Linked DNA regions of Drosophila melanogaster. The gene in region 3 interacts genetically with the main gene of each other region. Each region holds a gene or a part of one and is shown on either strand. Other genes may lie near its edges.

Region 1 (8,734 bases), on a different chromosome or scaffold from region 3:
GGACCAGGACTTCAAAGTGGCAGGACTCGTACTTCGGGTGCTCCACAAGAAACTCTGCGCACTTCTCATAGATGTCCACGCACTGCATGGACTTATTTTCGCTCTTCATGAAGTGCCTTAGGATCTTTCGGGCCTCCGCGTCATCCAGGATTCTTCCGACACTGTTCGAGAGCGCGTATATCCTTTCCGCCTCGCAAAGTTTCATGTTCTCCATTAGTTCTTCATAACTTTGCTGCAGTTTTGTAAAAGTTTTATTTATTTCATTTTTAGTAATTCATTAGCGAACCTTTTCCGAACTGGGTGCCATGCTTGAGTAATAATTTCAAAATAAAAACAGTTGAAGTGTATAGGCTGCCCCTTTTATAGTCTCGTGGGCTGCTCAGCTTACTAAATTTTCGGACCTTTATCTTTTATAACTCATAATTTTTTCGGAGCCATAAACTTTGCGCATTGAATCATCAAATCATAGTCTCATAATCATCTATTTTAGAATTACAAAAATGTGTGATTATTGTTTTTAAAGAAGTTAATCTAAGTATTAACTTAATATAATATAGAAATACTTGTTTCAGGCATATTTAAAGGAAAATAAATCGAAATAAATAAGAGCTTTCAAATAAACTTAAGGGAAGCTGCTTCCTTATTGTTCCTTCCATTTACTGTATAACGTTTTCGCGTACCTAATGCTGTTTGAATTTTAGATTCTTGGCGGGCCACATGTAGTGCTGCCAACCTATTCGAGGCGAATATTAATCGTGCAGAGTTTGTACGTTGTGCAGCACTACAGCTGGCGCACGCTATGCCTCACATTAGAATTTGTTTTGTTGCGGAATTTAGGTACTGAAAATAACTTACGACTCATTATCATGCGGTTTGCCCAAATAATTGTGGGCCCGGCAGGCAGTGGCAAGGTATGTCCACAAAAACGGCAGCCGATGCGCGCCATTAATCTAACACACAATATTCTCCCCAGTCGACGTACTGCAGCTTAATGCAGCAATATGCGATGGACTGCAAGAGAAATGTTCAGGTGGTGAACCTCGATCCGGCGGCAGAGCACTTCACCTACAACCCGCTGACGGACATTCGCGATCTAATCCACCTGGACGATGCCATGGAGGACGAAGAGCTGCACTACGGACCGAACGGCGGCCTCATCTTCTGCCTGGAGTTCTTGATCGAGAACCAGGAATGGCTGAAGGAACAGCTCTGCGGCGGCGAGAACGAGCTGATGGTGGGCGAGCCGGATGATGACTACATCCTGTTCGACATGCCCGGCCAGATCGAGCTCTTCACTCACCTAAAGATGGGCAGACAGCTGGTGGAACTGCTCGAGTCCTGGAACTTCCGCACATGCGTCGTCTTCTGCTTGGACTCGCAGTTCATGGTGGACGGGGCCAAGTTCATTTCCGGCACCATGGCCGCGCTCAGTGTGATGGCCAACATGGAGCAGCCGCACATCAATGTGCTGACCAAAGTGGATCTGCTGAGCAGCGATGCGCGGAAACAGCTGGAGATGTACCTGGAACCGGATGCCCACAGTCTGATGGGCGAGCTGACCATCGGGACTGGTTTTGGCGAGAAATACGCAAAGCTTACGCAGGCTATTGGCGCGCTAATTGAGGATTTCAGGTGAGCTAATCAATTATAATTAATTGATACTTAAATCGGTGGTAGCGGAGTGGAGTTTTACTGAGCATTTTACAAAAATTACAGTCCAAAAAATCCAAAAGTTAATTACATTTGAAGAGAGACTATTGTAAGCGATTAGCCGCAGAAAATACACGAAAAAGTCGACTATGGTTGTTAATATTTTCGTTTTAGTTAGTTCGATTTAATCACCAACATTATGATTTTATTAACATCGGTAGGTTTTTTATCAGAAGATTTTTTAATACAATCATATCAAAGGAAACACATTTTTGGTTTTATCGAAATGTTTTATTTTAAATGATAAACACAGGTTGATTAGTCCTTATAATAACCAAGGTTGATTTAAAGGGATTCTTGCCATAAAATAACTTCAAATTGTTAGCAAGAAATGATAATATTTTCTAATAAGACAAAAATAATGGAAATATGTATTTTGTTGAAAAAATTTAAGCTTGACCTCCAGTTCGACTTGCAATTTCAATCGCATAAAATTTTGTGGGCACATTTTAATACTATTTTTTCTTAGACTTCTGAACTTCTTTGTTCATGTCAATTTGGAAGGCAAAACAACCTATAATTATATATTATTATATAATTATGTTATTATTATTATATCAATATATATATATATATCGAATATTTCACAAGAATTAAAAGGAGAACGTTTTTCACTTCCCTTGCTGGCAGGGTCTTAAGTTCTAAAACTACAATCTACAACTTCAGGCCCATAGACTTGCGCGTCGGATGGAATGGGTGTTCCATGTGTGACATATCCGGTGGGTTCTGCTCAAACGCACTTATCTCCTGCATGCCGCTGTTGGCGATCTCCCACAGCTGCGGGTATTCCACCTTGAAGGTTTCGTACCACTTGTTCACCAACGTAAACTGGTGCAAGTCAAAGTTAATTGCCTCCAAGCAGATCGTGGCCGAAATGAGAGCGAAGTCTGCAATGGTTATGTTCTCGCCTGCCGCGTACTTAGTGCCCAGTCGCTGCAAATAGGTTTCGAACACATCAAGTGCGTTCTGCACCTTCTTTAGCGACATGGGCGTACGTTTGTAGTCGAAGAAAATGGGCGCCATGCTGTGGGCGGATATGGGGGCATAGTAGAATCCCATGTTAAAGCATAGCCGCTGATTGATTACTGCTCTCACATTGACGTCCTGCGGATATAGCGTTGAATCCGGCGCGTACTTGTCGCAGAGGTATTGCATAATGGCAATGCTCTCCGATAGATAGAAACCGTCGTCGTCCAGCACGGGTATCTCCTTTTGCGGATTCATCTGCAATGATTTGAATTTTTAATGACTTGAAAATCAAATTCATGACTCCATATGCACATACCTTCGAGTACTCCTCAGAGCGATGTTCCATGGCGCAAAAGTCCACATTGATGAGTTGATATTGTATATCCAAGGCCTTCAGGGTCATGCGAACGGCCAGGGAAGGCGGACCATCGGATACGGCGTAGAGTTTCATTGTGTAGATGGGTCTGTGGGTACACAGCGATCGTTAGTTTTGTGTATTTGTCTCTTGTTCGACCGGTTTGCTTGTAGCTTAAAAGTGAAAGCAATTTGCCTCTACTGTCTATTTTCTATATATCTATATATATATTTGGTTTAATTATTGCTGATGCTGTCTGTATTCAGTGTGTATTCTATCGCAAAAATTCTGTCAAAGAATTTCTGGGCTTTTTAAGAAATATTTTTAAATACTGAATAATAACAAACCCAAAATTAATGTTGTACGTTCGAGCAGCTTTCAAACCATACTGATGTGCTGAATTAACTTGCCAGATATTGCAGGTGTTCATTTCAATGACAATCCAAACTTGTTTTGCGTTTGAAAGGCATTATGCTAACATAGGTTCGCAAATACTCTGCCTAATTTGTCGACCCTTAACAGTCACGAATTCTTTATAATGAATCGAGGCTATGAATATTTGTTTCGAATAAGGGTAGGTGTTGTAAGTGTGCCAAAAGTTCTATCTCATTGTTAGTGTTCTTGTTTTTATTCATGCAAGTACGTTTTTTAAAAAGATTGTTATGTTTTCTTTCTTTCGGGATGGTATACATACACAATAGAGCCGTAGCTTTCCATTTCATCGGCTACTTCCTCGACAACCTCAATGATCCCATCTGTGTTGTCCACATCCATGTATTGTTGATCGCCCTCCATGGTCATTTCGACGCCTTCCTCTTGCTCCTGGTACTCTTCCTCCACGATAACAACATCATCTTCCTCATGGTGAGAGTCCGCTCTGTGGGACACGGATAATGATGCAGATCTGCTATTATTACTGCCGCTAACTCGAGGCTTCTTGTGAACCACAATGTCGCTGCTGATATTAGACACATTCAGGCGCTCGATGGCCAAATCACCATACTCCTGCTGAATCTGATCCAACGATTTGCCGATAAAGTGCAGCGGCCGAAACTTTAGGTTCTTGTTGTTCTTCTTGTTGATCTCGTTGTAGAGTCTCCGCTTGATGTCGTCCTCGCTGAAAGGATGGCTATGACTGTTGTAAACACGGAGCACACGAATAGAGCCATCCTTTTGGGTGGCCGTCGAGATGCGGCTCTTGCAATTGATGTCCGGATCGCGGCTTTTGATGCACACCCAATAGTTGCGCGAGATGACGCCACGGTTCTTGGCATGGTATATATAGCCATCGACGCACAGCAGTTCGTGCCCCTTGGCAGATCTCAGGGTACAAATCTTTGAGAGGTCCATGTCCGGCTGGGCGCCCTTTGCTGGCTCTGCTACATCGCGTCGCCTACGAATATTCGTGATCTGCGGCTGTCGAACTTTCGGCAAAGGTGTGGATGAATAAGCAGTGTGTGAATGTGGGTCGAGCTCATCTAGTGCGTCGGGCAGTATCTCGATCTTGGCGCTTATGTTGTTCGCTCCGTCCTTAAGGTACTGCACTATCATGTTCGCTTTCGATTCTGGTTCCATTTTGATGGCGCCATCGATGCTAATCACCTTCTTCATAACCACATTACGCGTGTCAATGTGTCCGTAGCTTTCGTCGACGCTGTTCTCCGCCTCGAAGGTATCGCCTCCCTGGCTGGCCGATCCCTCATCGCTTTCGAAACTGATCTCTTCAGAGTGCTCGATCTTTTGCAGCTTGTGCACATTGTCCTGATCCAGCTTGGCCTGCTGCTTTAGCCGGCGAGCAATTTCTTTTATATCCGGATTGTGCGTGTGCTCCCCATTGATTCGAAGCACTACTGGTCCGTTTTCAACCGGGTCTAGGGTAATGCGGACGTGACAAGTGTTGGCCTTGTCGCGTCGGTTTATGCATGTGAAGAACATGTGGCCGTTTGACCTGCTTTGCGAGTCGAAGTGGAACAGATGCTGACTCAAGCACAGCACCTTTCGACCCTTGGCCGATGGTAGAAATGTGAACTTGGTCAAGTCGGTTTCCGTGAGTGGATTGTGGCTCGGCGGCGGCAGATAGTTGGCAATTACGTCGAATGCCGCTGGCCACTTGGAGCTGTGATGCATTTTCGGGTCCACCAGCGAAGACTCGTCATCCCCTTCCTGGCTCTCGAGCTCTTCGCTGCCTTGAATCCCTCCACCTTGGCTTCCGTCCGTTCTCATGTATATATCGTAGTTATCCTCGCACTCCTCGATTATTATGGATTCCAAGTCATCGCCCCGCTGAGCTGTGTCGAAAGTGTTTTCCGGATCGAAGTACTCAAGATTGGGGCACTCTGCCAGCACATCAGAGGTATTTTCGTCCTCCACCAACACGATTTGGTGCTTCGAAAACATGTGCATCAGCTTGGCGGCCGAGTAGTGCGGATGAATGTGCGCATCCGTGTCGACGGCATGCAGGCGATGTGCCCCCGCCAAAGTCGCCTCCGTGCAGATCCTGGCCGTGCACTCAATGTCACGCTTGCGCACACAGGTCCATCGGAATATGTCGCCCTTGTAGGATTTCCCGGCCAGGTAGTACAGATGCCCGTCGATGCAGACCATCACGCGGCCGTCGCGGCGCCGTAGCATGTACACACGATCCTTGTCCTGCGGAATTAGAGTTCGTGTTAGTCATTTTTGTGCTGTAAAATTGTATATGAATTAAAAATGGTACATCATGGGAAATCTATTTAGGTGTAAAATTAAGTTAAGTGTAAGTTCAAAAGTATTTCATTCCCTTGGATATTCCCTTCAGTAGGGTGCATGTTATAAAATGATTGGGTCCCATTTTTTTCAAAAATCCCTAATATTTAGTTTCGTTTGGAGATATATAGTATTTTTTGAATCATAAATGATTAAGCTTTGGTATTTATTGTCCTTTTAACGGCCTAGCCGGTGGATTTGCAAATAGGAAAATAAATATAAAAAACAAATTGGCGGGAAACCATCTCATTACTAAGGTGAGCAAATTAACCTTTTTTTTACATTATCAAATGTTCAAAGTAGCGGTGGTTACCGAAATATGAATCAATATTAATATCAATGTTCTTTCTGAAAAAGAGACCCAGCTAGATTCTAAATAAATGGTTGAGTTGAGTATTCAGGGGCATGAGCCAGGTACAGTTGGCCTGGGGCCGTACCTCAAAGTCCAACTGGAACGAGGCCTCCACGGTGGAGGTGTCGATGCTTCCGTAGATGAACTCCGGCGGATTCATGCCGGCGTTGGCGCGCTCGTACAGGCGTGCTCTCTTCGGCTGGGTGGTGCTGTAAGCGTCGTTCATCATCATTACGGAGAGCCGCTTGCGCTGGGCCACCTTGTTGACCTCGTGATCGCTGCAGCGCGGGTGGATGTGGGCCAGAACGACGTCCACGACGACGTGGCGCGTCTTGTCCAGCGGATCGGGCAGCATGGTGCAGATGCGGGACTTGCAGGGAGTGGACTTGTCCTTGCGCCTGTTGCACAGCCATCGGTAGGTGTTATTCCGCCCGATGCGATCGAAGTGGTACAGATAGTCGTCCACGCAGAGCATATCCACGCCCTTGGCGGAGCGCACCACGGACACCTTGGTCAGGTCCATGCCGTGCTCCTCGACGGGCGTCTCCATTTTTGAATTGGTGCGCTGTTTGGCCCGAGCCCGGAATTCAGCGTTTTTCGATTTGCCCTCGAAAAGTGTTTTGTATCGTAAATTAGGCGATTTTTTTAGTGGCTGGCTGCCTGGGATTTGTTGGTTGGGATTTTTGGTGGTATTTCGTCAGCTCACTATTTGCGCGCCTTTTTGCAAACGCCGGCCATTTACCCAAACGCACTGATTTATTGCAGTTTGATGCACTAAAAGGGTTTATATTTGGTTTTTATCACTCGATTTTAATTGCACAAGCACATTTTCTTTTGCGACGCGTCGAAAAATGCTTTTGTGTGGGATACGAGGGCTGCGAGCTATGCGGTGGCGTTGCCACTTATCAAAATCGGTTATTTTTGTGACGTTCAAAAATTGTAAATATTGATGTTTATTATTCACTTACAGTTTGGTGAGATTTTTCCCGTTGGATTCCCAGGACGAGGAGAGCGTGGGCGATCTTCTGCTACAAATTGACAGTATCTTGCAGTACGGCGAGGATGCAGACGTGAACGTTAAGGACTTTGATGAACCGGAGGAAGGGGATCAGGATTGAAAAAAATCAATTTTTCATATTGCTTAAGAAAATGTACAATATTTTATTTTTAATAAAAAATTAAATCTAATCAAAATGCATGTCTAGCACCATCCCTGACCGCAGAGTTGCCACTGGTACAGTGTTGGACAACTGCTGCCGTAATTTTAAATTCCCCTACGCGTACGGCGTCTAAACAAAACTGCGATTCTAAGAACGAATATAAAAGCATGCAGGAGGCTGGCGAAAGTCCTGTTGGAATGCCTCTGAGCCAGGAGGCCATCGCACAGCGTCTCGCGGCGCTTAGTCGTTGGCAGGACGAGCAGAAGCGGCTGCTGCAGGAGCGGCAGTCCAATCACCGCGTTTTGCTCGGCTTGGAGCAACGTAATATGTACAAAATGCTGGGACTGCTACACCAGGAAACGGAAAGCCATGAAAACAGTGTGCTGGAGGAGTGGGACGAGGAGCACTCTATACAAATGCCGCGACTCGCGGCGGATCCGGACGAGCACGAGCCAGAGATTTCAATGGCTGATCCCCAGCCGGCCAAGCCTAAACGCCCTTTTCTGCGTCGCGGCGAAGGTCTAAAGCAGCGGTTCAAGATCAATCCCGACCAGCTGCGCCTGGAAAACCTGCCGCGATACAAGTTCGCTAATGCCCACCCTCAGTTCCGCACGCCTCAAATGAAAAAGGGTATTCTCAAGAAGCAAGTCAAGTCACCTCCCAATCCTGCGCCTCCACCAGCTCCCAAACCCTCAGCACAGCTCGACGATCTCAACGAGCAGCGCTTTCAGCAGATGCTTATCGGCAAGAACGCCTGCAGTTCCACTCCAGATCTAAAGTCTTCCTATGCGTCCTCCACAACCGCCTCGAGCACCTCGCCCAGAGTTCGTTTTGTAGAGCAGAAGAGCAGGGCGGGACAAACCACTCATGCCGATGATGAAGCCTCCTCGGAAGCTAGTCCCATGACAGGAGTTTGCTGGGCCAAGGTGCTGGACACACAGAGTATAAAGCCAGCGCAAATCCAAAGACGCTCTGCTCAAATCCGAGTGGAAGATGACAGCAATGTAAGCATATTCGAGCTGCTCGAGCAGAAGGCCACTGAGGGAAACATTGATATGAACTCCAGCTGCATTCGAACCTTTATGGCGCGCAAAGATCAGCGTCGCCGAGTAGCTGATGACTCCGATCACATTGTAGTCACACAGCAGGTGCGTCAGATGCGATTGCAGCCACAGGTGGACCAGATGCTGGTGCAGGAACTGCAGGAGGGGGACGAGGAGGACACCGAACCGTCCAGCGATCAGACCCTCACAATGACACCCATCCAGGTGGGGAATACTAAAGTGCGAGTGCGTTTCTCCGACTCCAATGACACGCACGAGTACTCCGATGCCACCAGCCTCAACGACGGCTCCAATATTCAGCTCTTTGAACAGTTCAAGTCCGCCCTCTTCCAGGCATTGGAACAGAAGAAGAAGTCAAGTCCCAGCAAGGAGTCAGACG
Region 2 (6,648 bases), on a different chromosome or scaffold from region 3:
GGTTTACACAATAGCCTTCTACGTCAATTTGTTTGGCTGCTTTGCATTCACGTCTGATTGACTTTTTAATGGGCTTCACATTTGATTGAATTGAAATTTCACAGAAATTAAGCAATCAATTGCGCAGATCGACTGCAGTGTACAAAAATGTGTTTAAATTTGCATTGGAACATTGCCTTACTACTAATGCTTTTAACATTTGTAACATTTGTTACCCTAATCAGCGCCAAACTCTTTTCAAAACCATTATTTACAATTATTACACACATGTGCGCTGGGTGGGAAAAAGTATGCTAATATGCCAAGTAACCGGGGCAAATATTTTTTCAAACCCTTAAACCAAAAACGGAGGCAAACTCAGCAACAACATTAATGGCAAACAGCATATGGGAAAAACGACCCAAAGCTAAAGCCAAAGTTATGCCTAAGTGGCAGCTTTTTGCTTTGCCACAGAAAAAAAAAGAGGGAAGAACAGCAAAATTTCTTGCCCCGCAGCAACGAAAATAAATTAAAGGGACTCGGCAACTTTTTGCCTTGCTCCGTATTTTTGTCTATTTTTTTAATTTTTCTACAATTTACCCGCATAAATAAATGCAAGGAAAGTGAGTGGGAAAGTCCTGTGGCCAGGATCTAATGATTGAAAAAAAGGAAGAAGTGATAAAAAAAAAGCTGTGGGCCAGTCTAACTCACCCATCTCTCGTTTGCCTTTCGTTTCGACCATAATAACCTTTTATAACGCTCAAACGTGTATTTACTTTCCTTGGGGATATTTACTTAAATCCTCTCAAAGCCAAAAACGCCTTCTCCGCAAATTGTCCGCTCTGCTGTAATTTAATTTGAATTCTGCTGAAAGTTTACACCAGTTGCAGTACACACAAAAATACGGTCATAAAATATGCAACTTTGAAAAGAAATAAAAATGAAAAAGTCCTGTTCCAGGCAACAAAAGAGATTAAATTGCGTGGCCGTGTCTTGTCAACATTAGCTTTCAGTTTTTTGTTTGGGCGCATTGAACTCGTATTTGCGGCAGATAATATAAAATGTAGCCGTTTTATTTGTTGTTGTTATGAGTTTCATTTCGATTTTGATTTGAATATGTGTGTATTTTAGACGTACGCGTGCTCCGCAGGTACATAATCATGAGTTGGAACTTTTTCCTACATTTCTTTCTGCAAATCAATCCAATTAGAGATTGCACATGCCTTCCACCTCTGATGATTGCAGTCGGAAACTCAATTTCATCACGTATACGTCATGTGGCGCCAGATAAGGCAGCCATAAAAATCTATTAAAAATCAATTTGTTTGAGACAGCTGTTGTGCTGCGCTAATCCAAAGTCTTGAACTTTATCCACATCTAGTGGATGCTTAATTAAGGCCGTCGACTTGGTAAAAGCCAAAAATTAATAAACGCAACACGTGCAGCGATTTTGTTGGCTGTTTTGCGAGGATGTTTTTTCTATTTTCCCTCAACACTTGGTGGGTGGATGGAACGCCAAGGCCTCCTGGACATGGGCAATCGCAAAGTTTGTCGAGCAAGGCGCTTTGAAGTCTAATAGGATTAGTTCGCACAAATGTGGGCGTGTCTGTCTATGACAAATAAACGCCCTTCTGCGGCTGTGTATCTGTATTTCTTTGCTATAAATAATATTCAATATTGCTAAGCAAATATTTGGCATGCGAATATTCCTAGACGAGGATTTCTTATATCAGTAAATATTTATCATATCCATGGCTGGCTTGCTTGAGGCCAACGAAAACGAGTAATCTCTGTTTTGCCTTGAAAAAGTAATAAATAAAAATCTGTAAAATTCTTTGGTCTCCCCGGGTGGTAAATTGGGACTATTAGATACATTATAAGCTTACCAAAAGTTTCTTGGCTAAAGCTATCTACCCACTGCATTCATTAGGTGTCAATACTCGCTTGTATTACTGCCTGCACATATTACAATACATTTATTTTTGTAGAGTGTAATTAGAAACGATAAAACACCACATAAACGCGCACAAGTTTGGTTAGTTATAAGTTAATAGCAAAAAGTGTATATGATTCCAAGAGTTTTCCGTTTTCAAGTCCGTTTCCATTGATTCTTAAAATCATCTCTGTTAGTTGGAGCAATCATCTAGGCCTTGTCAATCACACGATCATTGAAGACAATCCTTAAATCGGTCTTGGCCATGTTGCCAAAGGCACCGACCAATTCGGTGAGATTGGCATTGGGCAGGCGCCTATCGAAGGGATAGCCCATGGTGCGTCTGTCAGGATACAATTTGTCCTTCAGACCACAGAACGAGTACGCCGTGCTGCAGGCATCGTTGGGTCTAATGGGCGACAAGGAGAATGTCAGCTGATGATGGGAAATTGGGTTTATAGCACTCACGTTTTGGGCTGCTCAACGGAGTCCTGCGAGTAATCGGAAATCATGACGAACAGGTCGAAGACCATTCCCTGGGCATTGCCCTTGGGCAGCAGGAGATGCTGTGGCCACCCACATCCGCAAAACTTGAAGCGTGCCAACTCATCGGCGGCCTTGGGCTGATAGTCTGCTCCAACCGGGCGGAATGAGCGCTCGAAGGGAATGGCCACCGAGGACTCTGTCGACTGGCGGCGTATGGTGTTCTCACCAGGCACCACTGGGGATTAATTAAAGTATGTTAATAGATCGTAGGAGGTTGTCAGTAGGGAAAAGTATAAGCTAAAATCACTGGCTAGCTTTGTACGAAAGAAACACTTTTTAAATACCAAAATATTAAATAAATATATATACTAAGAAATACAGTTATTACTCACAATCAACTGTGAACTTGTCCATTTCGATGGCCAACAGTCGCTGCTCCTCCAGATTCAAAGCCTGATTACGCTCATCCACCTTGGGGCAGATGAAGATACGGCAAGTACCCGTTCGTCTGGCTCCATTATTGGTCACATTGAATGTATAAGTGAAGGGGGCATTCTGGAGATGGGTGAACGAGGCGAATATGTTGCGATCGGTCGTTGGTCCAAAGTCCAGGCCAGCTGCCAAGTCGGCACTCGACTTCTGCCAGTAGGTCAACAGGGTGTTGGCCTTGGTATTGGACTTGCCAATCTTGGCCTCAATGTAGTCCACGGTAATACCATCGAAGTTAAGCTCACCGGCATTGTACGGGTTCAGGCGAGTCTTGAATTTGTTGAACACCGTGTCGATGAATCCGTGCCACCTGTAGAAGATTGGATCCCTCATGGCCGTGGTCACATCGCCCATCACACCGAATTCCTCCAAGTGACGGTAATCGGGATCGTGGGCAAAGGAGATTATGTTGTGCCCCTCGTTGTGTAGATTGCCATAGAAATTATAGTTGATGGATAGGACTGGCGATGCCTCAATCATGTTGCCCAGGATATCGATGCCACGAACTTCGTCCAATGGTATACGATTGCCAGAAGACTATGGATTAGCAAATAAAAATTTCTAGTGCTTTCTATGACCTATGCTCAATATTCCAAACGGGCCCAACTCACATCTTCAACGTATCCTTGATCTATGGCAGCCAGCACGCGATCACGCCAGCGCTCCACATCGGAGATCTCCACACGCCCATCATGGCGGTCCACGTCCCTCAGCTTTTGGTTGGTCACTCGGGCGGGATAGGTGCGGTTATTCGTGCTGGACAGGATCTTGGGGAAGTAGCCCTCGGGAACCTCCACACGCAGATTGTTCAGCGGCTGAACCTTCTTCAGATTGTTGCAGAAGCGCTCCACATTGTAGCGCGCGAGTATCTGGTGGTGCATGTAGTAGAAGAGCTCGCCACGACGATCCTTGTTGACCACCTCCGTGGGTCCGGTGGTCGGGTAGACCAAGTGCCAGTGCCAATGATGGCTATTAACACCGATGTCCTCACGGAAGTACGCCAGGCGCTGTTCATCCTCGCGATCCGAGGCCGTGTAGTTTTGCGGAATGTCCACATGGACACGAGCGCCGCTCTCTCCAATAACAGAAGCTTCCTGACGGGCATCCTGTGGTCAAATTTATAAATACACCATTAAAGACTTTGATTGGTCAAATAAAGAAGAACTTAAACGAACCCGGAAGGCGGAAGGTTCTACAAAGTTGCTCGGAAAGATCTGGGAAATGTTGGTAATGGGCACTTCACGCGTATCCGGGCGATGGGCAACGGCGACGGCATAGGCGTATTGGAACAACACAGGATTCACACGATCCCTAAAAAATTAATACATTATACAATACATATATATTTATTTTAGTACAAGTACTTACTTGGTGTAAACGGAAAGCGACACGAATTGTCTGAGATTTGGTGCGCTCATGAAGAGGGTGATCAGCTCGCTGGCGATCTCACGATGGCGATTGTTAAACAGCGAAAATTGATTCTTGAGACCAATCTTTTTGGTGAACTCCAGACTGGGAACGTTGCTCAACTCCTGAATTGGGATCTTCAGATCCACGTCCTTAGAGAATCGATTGCCCACCTCCTCGGTGTCATTGCGATAGCGATCCGTATAGAAGGAATCGGGCAGTTCCAATACAGTTTTTCCGGAGTCACGAGTGGTGAATGCCGGTTCCAGGGGTCGCTGGAACATAAGTTCCAAGGCTTTCAGATCCGTGTTAGTCATGGTTTTCTCTATGGATGTACACTTTCAACTACACTTTTAACTTCACTCAACGAAGCCAGTTGCAGAACTGTGATTTTCCCAGGAAGCCGAACTCATTTTATAGCTAACTAGCAGTCCGAATATAAAAATAATATTTTTAAAAATATTCATTATCAAGTCCCAACCGCAAAACTGCAATGGTCGAGCCTTTTTTCTCACAAATCCAAACGTTGTGGTTTAGTCGATAGCTTCTGAAAAAGCAAAAAGTGCAATACCGCAAAAGTTGTTGAGCCGCAAAATGATAAGAGAAATACTTTTAATTGCTTGCATAAAATAATATACCATTGTTGATTTTCAGTTGAATGTTGTTAAACGTGAAACTGTATTGAGCTTGTTAGATACATATACTGATTTTTTTTCAATACTGCACTGCCTAATGTATACCCACAACCAATTAATTGTTTTCAACTTTTTGAAGAGTTATTAGTTCCGGGGTAGGAAGCTTAAATTGAATTTCTTTGTCTTTGCCGAAAAAGTATCCGAGAAACCTTTTTGCGACCACGCGAAATACAACTCCCAAAGTAAACAAGCCGAAGGCCACCGGAAAAGCTTCTTATTCGCATAGAAATAACACCGAATACTTGCTCAACAGGCTGCCACGCCCCCTTAAAAAGAACCGCCCATCGCCGAATGGGAGGCCATAAATTTGGCTTGGAGCAGAGGGCTCGTCCTTCGACATGGCCCATAAATTTGGTTTTTGAAATGGCAGTGTGTAGCTGAATGTAACTAAGAACTAACTGGCAAGAGAGCTTGGATGATTAAAATATCTATACTGTAAATCAATTTTTGTCGCTACGCCGTCTGGCCAAATGAACGATGTTGGCCAAAAAGCAAAGCGAATGGCCAAACTTTTGGCCATTGTCAATAATAAATGTTTCTGCCGACTTTGGCGTTGAAATGTGTGCGCATTAATCTGTGAAATTGACAGCAACAAAAACGAGCGTAACAAGTTTGCATAAATGTGCGGGTTTCGGGCGAAAATTGAAAAGATGAATTTTCACAATTTCTGCACTCTGGCCATAACAACATGAAAATGACTTTTCTGCTCGACTTTGTTTTGCTAATGTCGATGTTCCAGCAGATACACCATCTTTTCAGTTTATGAACTATGTACGGTAAGCAATGTAAGCCAAATTTGACTACCATCAATTGAATTTTTGTTTGAAATAACTTAGGCAAGAATATTTTATACGATTTTTTGTAGATTCTTTTAAACCATGCATACCACTTATGTATGTAATATAGTAATATATTGCAGAGTATATTGAAGTTGGCTTTTCCTAGAAAACACTTGACTGCACGCAAACATTTATCCGAGCAATGTAATTTTTCATTGAATATTCAACGACAGCCATGGCAAATGTGCTCCAGATTCCAGCCCAAAAGACAAACTTGCTTTAATTAATTATAAATTGTGGAAAAGTGTGTGCTTCTGCGAACTTGGCAGTGTGAATTGAATTAGAATGAAAATGGGCCAAAGCAAAAGCTTTAGGCCAGGACACGTGCAGAGCCTGCTTTCACCGGCGAAACAGAACAAAAAAAAAGGAAAAAACCCAAACTTTTACCAACAAGTCTTAAAAACCACGCAAGTTTGTAAAAGGCGCCAAGCACTCTTTCTGTTTGGCTTTATGGGCGAAAGTCTGGTCCATAAAATGAGCTGTGGGTATGCGTTAATTACCCGCTGGCTTAAATTTTACATTTTGGCTTAAGCACTCTGCGGCCAGGTTCGAAAACACATGATGCCTCCGCCCCAAAGAACATTCCAAACTATTCATTAGTTGTGGGCCAACCGCAGGAATTTGCGGCAGTGTGTTATCAAAATTTCGAGTGGGCTACGCTTTCAATTGTTTGCCCACTTGGGCACCAAACTGATTAAAGTTTCATGGCTCTAATCTGTTTGCAACTTATCAGCTCCATTAATGTGGGTGGGCTTTCATGAACAGGGAAAGGGTTTGAAAAAGGGTGTCGAAATTGAGTGGGTCTTGTTGGTTTAATCTC
Region 3 (7,141 bases):
CAAAGTCTGTGTCCCGGCTACATTCAGTACTCCAAGTCGCTGCTGGAGGTGCCCATGCCGCGGGACTATGGCTACGCCAGCAGCGATGATCTCAGCTCCGAATGGGACTCGGATGTGTCGACCTCGGCGGCTGGCTCGGCAACGGGATCGGGATCGGGTGCCGCATCCCAAGCCAGCACCACCGGCAAGAAGGTAGGATGGGTAGTCCGATAAAGATATAGGATCTATCTCAGGATCTAATAATATAGTTTAAGTTCTTTGAAAGGGTTTGTATACATCATACATTATATTAGTTATTAGTATTCGACTTGAACAACTTTAAGTACTAAATACAACCAAATTTATAGATCAAAAACAAGTTGGTGTATCCACGTGATTTTTCCGCTCGTGTTTTCACATGTGATCGAGTGATAACAACTCAGCTGAAAAATCAGGGCACAAAAATGGGTCATTAGCCAGCTGTCTCATGCAAACTGTTTCATTTCCAATAAACAAACAAAACTTAATTAGTGGAATGCATTATTAGCGAAATGTAGCAACAGTCTGTAACATTATTATGAGCTATTTACTAATTGATTTAACGTATTATTCTCGCAGACTTTGCACACTTGTATTATAAGAATTAAAAATGCTGATTTTTCTAGCATCATCTTGAGTTAATCGATTTACCCACGATTCTTGCAGAGCTCCGGCTGGCGAAAGATTCGCAACATCGTTCAGTGGACGCCCTTCTTTCAGACGTACAAGAAGCAGCGCTATCCATGGGTTCAACTGGCCGGACACCAGGGCAACTTCAAGGCAGGTCCCGAACCGGGCACCGTGCTCAAGAAGCTCTGTCCCAAGGAGGAGGAGTGCTTCCAGATTCTCATGCACGATCTGCTTAGGCCCTATGTGCCCGTTTACAAGGGTCAGGTGACCAGCGAGGATGGCGAACGTGAGTGAAACGAATTGTGATTATCCTTGCTAACTAATCTAACTGATATAATCGTGTGGCACAAACAGTTTACCTGCAGCTGCAGGATCTGCTCAGTGACTATGTGCAGCCATGCGTCATGGACTGCAAGGTGGGTGTGCGCACCTATCTGGAGGAGGAGCTGTCCAAGGCCAAGGAGAAGCCCAAGCTGCGCAAGGATATGTACGACAAGATGATCCAAATCGACAGCCACGCTCCCACCGCCGAGGAGCACGCAGCCAAGGCGGTGACCAAGCCACGTTACATGGTCTGGCGTGAGACCATCTCCAGCACGGCCACGCTGGGATTCCGCATCGAGGTGGGCTTGAATTTGAATTGAATCTATTCCATTTAAACTTGAATAGCCAACCCAAAAAAACGAAACCACTAAATTAACATACGACTATGTGAATGAGAAGCGTGTGCAAAGTGCCAGGCTACACATTTATCCTTAAAGTCAAATGTAAACATTAATTATTCATTCAGAAAAGTTAATGGAAAGCCATTAATTTAATCGTCTAAACATCATTCGCAGGGCATCAAGAAGAGCGATGGCACCAGTTCCAAAGATTTCAAAACGACGAAGTCACGCGAACAAATCAAGTTGGCCTTTCTCGAGTTCCTCAGCGGTCACCCACATATTTTGGTGGGTATTCAAATTAGCCAAGCATGCCCAGTTGAATGCCATTAACTTGGGGATTCCCTGCGCTTGTCATTACTTTTTCTTTTCTTTTTATTTTATTTTCTTTTCTTTTTTTTTTTTTGCATACAGCCCCGCTACATACAGCGTTTGCGAGCCATAAGGGCCACCCTTGCGGTCTCGGAATTCTTCCAGACCCACGAGGTTATCGGCAGCTCCCTGCTCTTCGTCCACGATCAGACCCACGCCAGCATATGGCTAATTGATTTCGCCAAGACGGTGGAGCTGCCGCCGCAGCTGCGGATCGATCACTACTCCGCCTGGAAGGTGGGCAACCACGAAGATGGCTATCTCATCGGTATCAACAATCTCATTGATATCTTTGTGGAGCTGCAGGCATCCATGGAGGCGGAGGCGCATGCGCAAGCGCAGGCGGAGGCCATTCAGTCACCCGTTTCTGGTTCTGGAGGAGATCAAGCGGAGCAGACGGGTGAAGAGAGCAAACCCTAATGGGAAATCCATACATTTCCACACGGAGGTTTGGGGCTGGGCCCCGGAGACAAAGACATTTCCAATTTCCGAATCGATTAATCCCCAATTCCTAGGCTTAGTTATACATTTTTTTTTTGTTTTTTTCTAACAGTTTGCGTACATTTAACCCCTTAAGTTTAAAATCAAAGACTGAAATCACAATATGCATACACATATTTTTTAATATATACGATATACGCGTACATATACATATATAGAAGATATATAGCCTGGCCTATATGTGCTGCTGCTGCTGCTGTAGTGTAATTTATTTATCCAAAACAAAAAAAAAAACAAAAAAATTCACGTTTGGCGAATCCTAGAGATACCCGAATGGCTGGAGATAATACCCACAAGGCAGTTGCAACTGTCGATCGTAACGATACGAAAAGTAACTAAGAAATGAACACACCCAACACGCAACAAGAGCTTAGACTAAGTTTTTAATATAATGGTTATGCGACTACCTACTAAATACTACTAATTGTGCACTATTAAATTCAGTTAAAACAAAACGAAAAAACGAAAGTACTTGTTTCAATTTATTTGTGGAGATTTGTGGACCACAGAATAGCATAATACATAGAAAATATTATTTGCGCCAAAGTGGAATAGAAATGGTTATTATAAACAGGAATCAGTTCTTTAACTACATTATTTATAATGGAAGAATTAAAAAAAAGCGCGGTTTTTTCATTTTGGCGGCAAAATGACGACCAGTGTGACCGTTAAGCTGGTGTGCCCGAATTATACTAAAAGTACTGCTCAGTACATATTATTACACATTATTTATTATTAGTAGTAGTACTTGTTTCCAAGTCTATCAAAAGTTATTAAGCGCTACTATCTTAAAACTTGAATATTAAAACTTACCATTTAAAATGTAGAATCCACTTTTGAAAAGCACGCCAATAGTTGATAGATGGCGCTTTAAGCACTTGCTAAAAAATATCGATGAGCAGCGTTAATCGGCGCTGCCTATCGCAAGCGGTATCCGTGTTGCGGCAGCCCTGGTCGACCAGCATTCGCTTAATTTCAATCCATTCGCGAATTTCAACTCGTGCCGAAAGGTTTGTTTGTGCGAAAGCTGAAGCTGCGAGAGAACGAACAAGAGGAAGCCCACGCGGAAGTCAAGCAATTACCGAGAATTACTAAGAGAAAAAATATAACTGTTTAAAGTGAGTGTTCCTTGGGCGATGAACAGGTCGCTCATTCTGGGCAAAGTCGGCGAGAAATTGCGGAGCGTAAGATTAGAAATTAGCATCGCTGTTGTTGCTGTTGTTGTTCTTTTTCGATGAGCAAAAGATAATGATGTTCATGTTCGGTCGGCAGATTCGAGATTATTTCACAACTTTTTGCACCGAGAGCATAGTTTTTTTCTTCACATTTCGTTCTTTTTTTTCCACTTTATTGGCACGTCCGTCGCACACACTTACACACACACGTACACGCGAAGAGCCGGCGAAAAAAAGGGCACAAAAATGAAATCAAAACTAGAGGAAAATATTTGCCAATTCAGAAATAAGTTTGTGATTTGTAATTAATTCGCATCCATTACATGAAATACGCGAACGTGCCGACAGTTCAATAAATTCAATCGCATAAATGGGAGCAGTCGAAAAATTTGGCTAATTTATTATTCCGGGTTTCTTCCATTTCGCTTCGCTCGGCGGCCATTTTGTAGAGTTCAGCTTTTCTACTCTCCTCTTTGATCTTTCCAGTTTGTGGCGAAATATCTGGAAGTCAAGGGTAATTGCCCTTAATCGTTAGTAATTGCCGCCATTAGAACTCCGATTTATAGAGACTTTTAGTATGGAATTAGCATCAAGTTAACTACTTTACAATTGAAAACCAATTGGAAGTTACATAGGCAAGATTAAAGGTTATAAAATAGTAAGTTTACTACAAAATAGGTATATTGCATATGAGAAATTTCAAGAATTTCGTAAATATTTCCAATTTTCATTCTAAGGGCCTAGCATAATATTGATTTCCCATCATAATACTTTAACAGTATCTATTCATATTAATTTCCATGATTTCACTAGCCTCTATAAATGCAATTTTTTTAAACAACGGTTATCTTGTAATAATCCGAGGTTAGAGTGATGAAATTTTTGTTTTTTGTGGGGCCCAAAAAATCTTGATAGATAAGATAAGATGCGTATCGGTCGAAAGAGGAAGTATCAGTCACAGCGAGATTTCAAGGGGACCATATGAGGGATTTACAATTGAAGTTCTCAAAAGAAGGCGACTAAGTTCAGAGCACTTTGTTGTTAATTATTCGCTAGTTTGAAGAAACATGTCTCTAATTCGCCATCCATTCATTGAACAGATGCCCCAGCTACAGAAGCCCGCTCCCGCATTCGCCGGCACCGCCGTCGTCAACGGTGTTTTCAAGGACATCAAGTTGAGCGACTACAAGGGCAAATACCTGGTGCTTTTCTTCTACCCGCTGGACTTCACCTTCGTGTGCCCCACCGAGATCATTGCGTTCTCGGAGAGCGCCGCCGAGTTCCGCAAGATCAATTGCGAGGTGATCGGTTGCTCCACGGACAGCCAGTTCACCCACTTGGCCTGGATCAACACGCCAAGGAAGCAGGGTGGTCTGGGCAGCATGGACATTCCACTGCTGGCTGACAAGTCGATGAAGGTGGCCCGCGACTATGGAGTGCTCGATGAGGAGACTGGCATCCCCTTCCGCGGCCTGTTCATCATCGATGACAAGCAGAACTTGCGCCAGATCACCGTCAACGATCTGCCCGTAGGTCGCAGTGTGGAGGAGACCCTGCGTCTCGTCCAGGCCTTCCAGTACACCGACAAGTACGGCGAGGTCTGCCCCGCCAACTGGAAGCCCGGCCAGAAGACCATGGTGGCCGATCCCACCAAGTCCAAGGAGTACTTCGAGACCACCTCCTAAAGAGGCTATCTGTTCGCTGAACGGGGCCGCTCCTGGCGAGTGGGAGTGGATTCGAATCGCAAACCCCCCGTTCAACTAAAACCAATACATATACTACATTATATATCCTACACATTAACCCTAGAGCGTAGAAGAAGAAGAAACTGTGAGGCATCTTTCCCTGCAACAGCGCCACCCAAAAATAAGATGATAAACACCTGCAGACGCTAAGCGGAAAGTGATTATTTTTTACGTATATTTTGTGTGCTTTTTTTTTTTTGTAATTCACCACAATAAACGATTGTACGGAGCACGTGGGTCTTTATCAGGGGGTGGCGGGCGGACTTTCGCCTCAAACCTCTGGTCTTATCATCCGGGGAAACATTTCCACAAAAGAAAAAAAAATGGAAAGAAATAGCAGCGGGCGACTTATCACCGTCTGCGACTGGCAATTGCGAAATTGCAAATAGACTGAATCAGAATGCCAGGAATGCTTCGCTGAAAGAAATGACGAGTGACTTGTGCACAGTATACAAATCTACATGTGATGTCTAATTAAACCCGGTTAATAATCTGTTAACATGTACTTGTAGTTACCTATTAGTTGTTCCACATATTCTGTAACTTTGTTACTTTGATGTGGCATTTTATTGCAGTGCAGACAACAGCTGTTGGATTGGTGACACAGTAACCGAGTGCACAATTCCCGTTTTGCCACCATCACCACCCATCCATTTCAATGTTAAGCGCAAGCGAGAGTCCTCTAGTCGACGTGGATGTCTCGCATATTAAACGGGTCTTGACTCTACCGGTATACCCAGATATATATGTATATAAATATATACGATCTGCCTGATTTGAACCCCCTTTTGTGATCGCAGCGTTTCAACTATTACGTGTAGTTCGCGTCGCATCCAACGAGGTGTCTTCGGCGTATCGGATCGAATCTCTTTCACCAGAACCAGTTCCTCCGGGTTATATACATACATACATTTGTACATTTTATCTGGCTATCTACATATGTACATGTGGCCCAGCAGCTGCGAGGCAGTTTATTTACTGCCCGTGGAACCTACTGGAAACAGAACCCTTTCTCAAAGTCAAGTGGTGCGATCTGATCGCTGCTGCGCACGTTACGTCGTTAGTTTTTTTTTGTTTGCCATTTTGTTTACTGAATCGGCCGGGCATAACCGACTTGGATGGCTCATAGCGACCACATTGGGCTCGCGCCATTATCATTATCAGTCTGCTAATTGCGCCCGTTGCCAACGGATACGATTACTCCAGTTCACACACAATGGTGGCCTAGCCATACATAATTGGTCCCTTACAATGGGACCTTACTGTTCGCACTTCTTGGTAACGCGCACAAAGAAAATTTCCAATTTCCAAAAAGAAAGGGCTTTAAAAAAAATGCATCAGGTACAACATGGCGTATGCGCAATATGTTGTTATGTTATTTCATTCAGGGATTCATTCTGATCCCTCTTATTAAGTGGCCTTCTTATGGCAAAAGTTGCAGAAAGAGCAATCCATCTTCGTGATGCCAGAAAGTGAGCACTTAAAGTTCGTTTCTACCTGAGCTCGCTTGCCAAGCTGTACAGAAAAACGCTCTATTCATATTGTTCATCAGTCGCAACAACAGCTGCAAAAAGAGATTGCTTCTGCTGAATCATGGCGGCCAAAGGCAGACCAAAGCGGCACAAAAGCTAGACAGCTACGTTTCTACAATAAATCCCAAGTCGGAGCCAGATTTCTATGCCGGTGACGGTTGACTCTCTATTGAGGGCGTTGCAAATGTCATTGTCGGTGACTTTCGATGGCTGTGATTCGAATTCACATAGCCATTTCCAATTCCCGGGTCCAGATCGATGATTATTGGTTGGCTGAAAAACGCACTTGCCATAATGAAAACCCAGCCGAGTTGCTGTTGCAATGGAAAATGGGTGGGAAATGCCTGTGATATTCACGATTGGCCAATTGTCGGCAGTTCGATGTATCCGGAAAACAAGTACATGCATATACAGCTGCGGGAGAAACAATAGCGATAACTACAGTTCAATTAAAAAAAAAAATAATTAATTGCTCTCTGCTTAACAATTAACTTACCATTATGATT

Evidence for each region. Genes that interact genetically often act in the same process or in processes that back each other up.
Region 1: of Prx2 (region 3) and gfzf, changing one suppresses a phenotype caused by changing the other (phenotypic suppression), as found in Drosophila melanogaster (one study listed by BioGRID).
Region 2: of Prx2 (region 3) and PPO1, changing one suppresses a phenotype caused by changing the other (phenotypic suppression), as found in Drosophila melanogaster (one study listed by BioGRID).

Annotation. Positions count from the first base shown.
Region 1 is NT_033777.3:7,143,950-7,152,683, forward strand, and holds gfzf (GST-containing FLYWCH zinc-finger protein), read right to left. Parts: upstream 7,020-8,734; 5' UTR 6,682-7,019; coding exon 6,217-6,681; intron 5,684-6,216; coding exon 3,729-5,683; intron 3,430-3,728; exon of another isoform or gene 3,382-3,429; intron 3,144-3,381; coding exon 2,996-3,143; intron 2,935-2,995; coding exon 2,365-2,934; 3' UTR 1,931-2,364; downstream 1-1,930. Other genes in the region: CG14610 (uncharacterized protein), read right to left, coding at 1-232, 287-307; CG2656 (uncharacterized protein), read left to right, coding at 867-911, 974-1,632, 7,102-7,249; Sas-4 (spindle assembly abnormal 4), read left to right, coding at 7,459-8,734.
Region 2 is NT_033778.4:17,885,290-17,891,937, forward strand, and holds PPO1 (prophenoloxidase 1), read right to left. Parts: upstream 4,685-6,648; 5' UTR 4,612-4,684; coding exon 4,256-4,611; intron 4,199-4,255; coding exon 4,063-4,198; intron 3,994-4,062; coding exon 3,499-3,993; intron 3,425-3,498; coding exon 2,791-3,424; intron 2,634-2,790; coding exon 2,381-2,633; intron 2,322-2,380; coding exon 2,123-2,321; 3' UTR 1,931-2,122; downstream 1-1,930.
Region 3 is NC_004354.4:13,326,664-13,333,804, forward strand, and holds Prx2 (peroxiredoxin 2), read left to right. Parts: upstream 1-3,160; 5' UTR 3,161-3,301; exon of another isoform or gene 3,302-3,367; intron 3,368-3,735; exon of another isoform or gene 3,736-4,016; intron 4,017-4,355; exon of another isoform or gene 4,356-4,458; coding exon 4,459-5,043; 3' UTR 5,044-5,331; downstream 5,332-7,141. Other genes in the region: IP3K2 (inositol 1,4,5-triphosphate kinase 2), read left to right, coding at 685-934, 1,003-1,271, 1,488-1,598, 1,725-2,102. UniProt on the Drosophila melanogaster protein: Thiol-specific peroxidase that catalyzes the reduction of hydrogen peroxide and organic hydroperoxides to water and alcohols, respectively.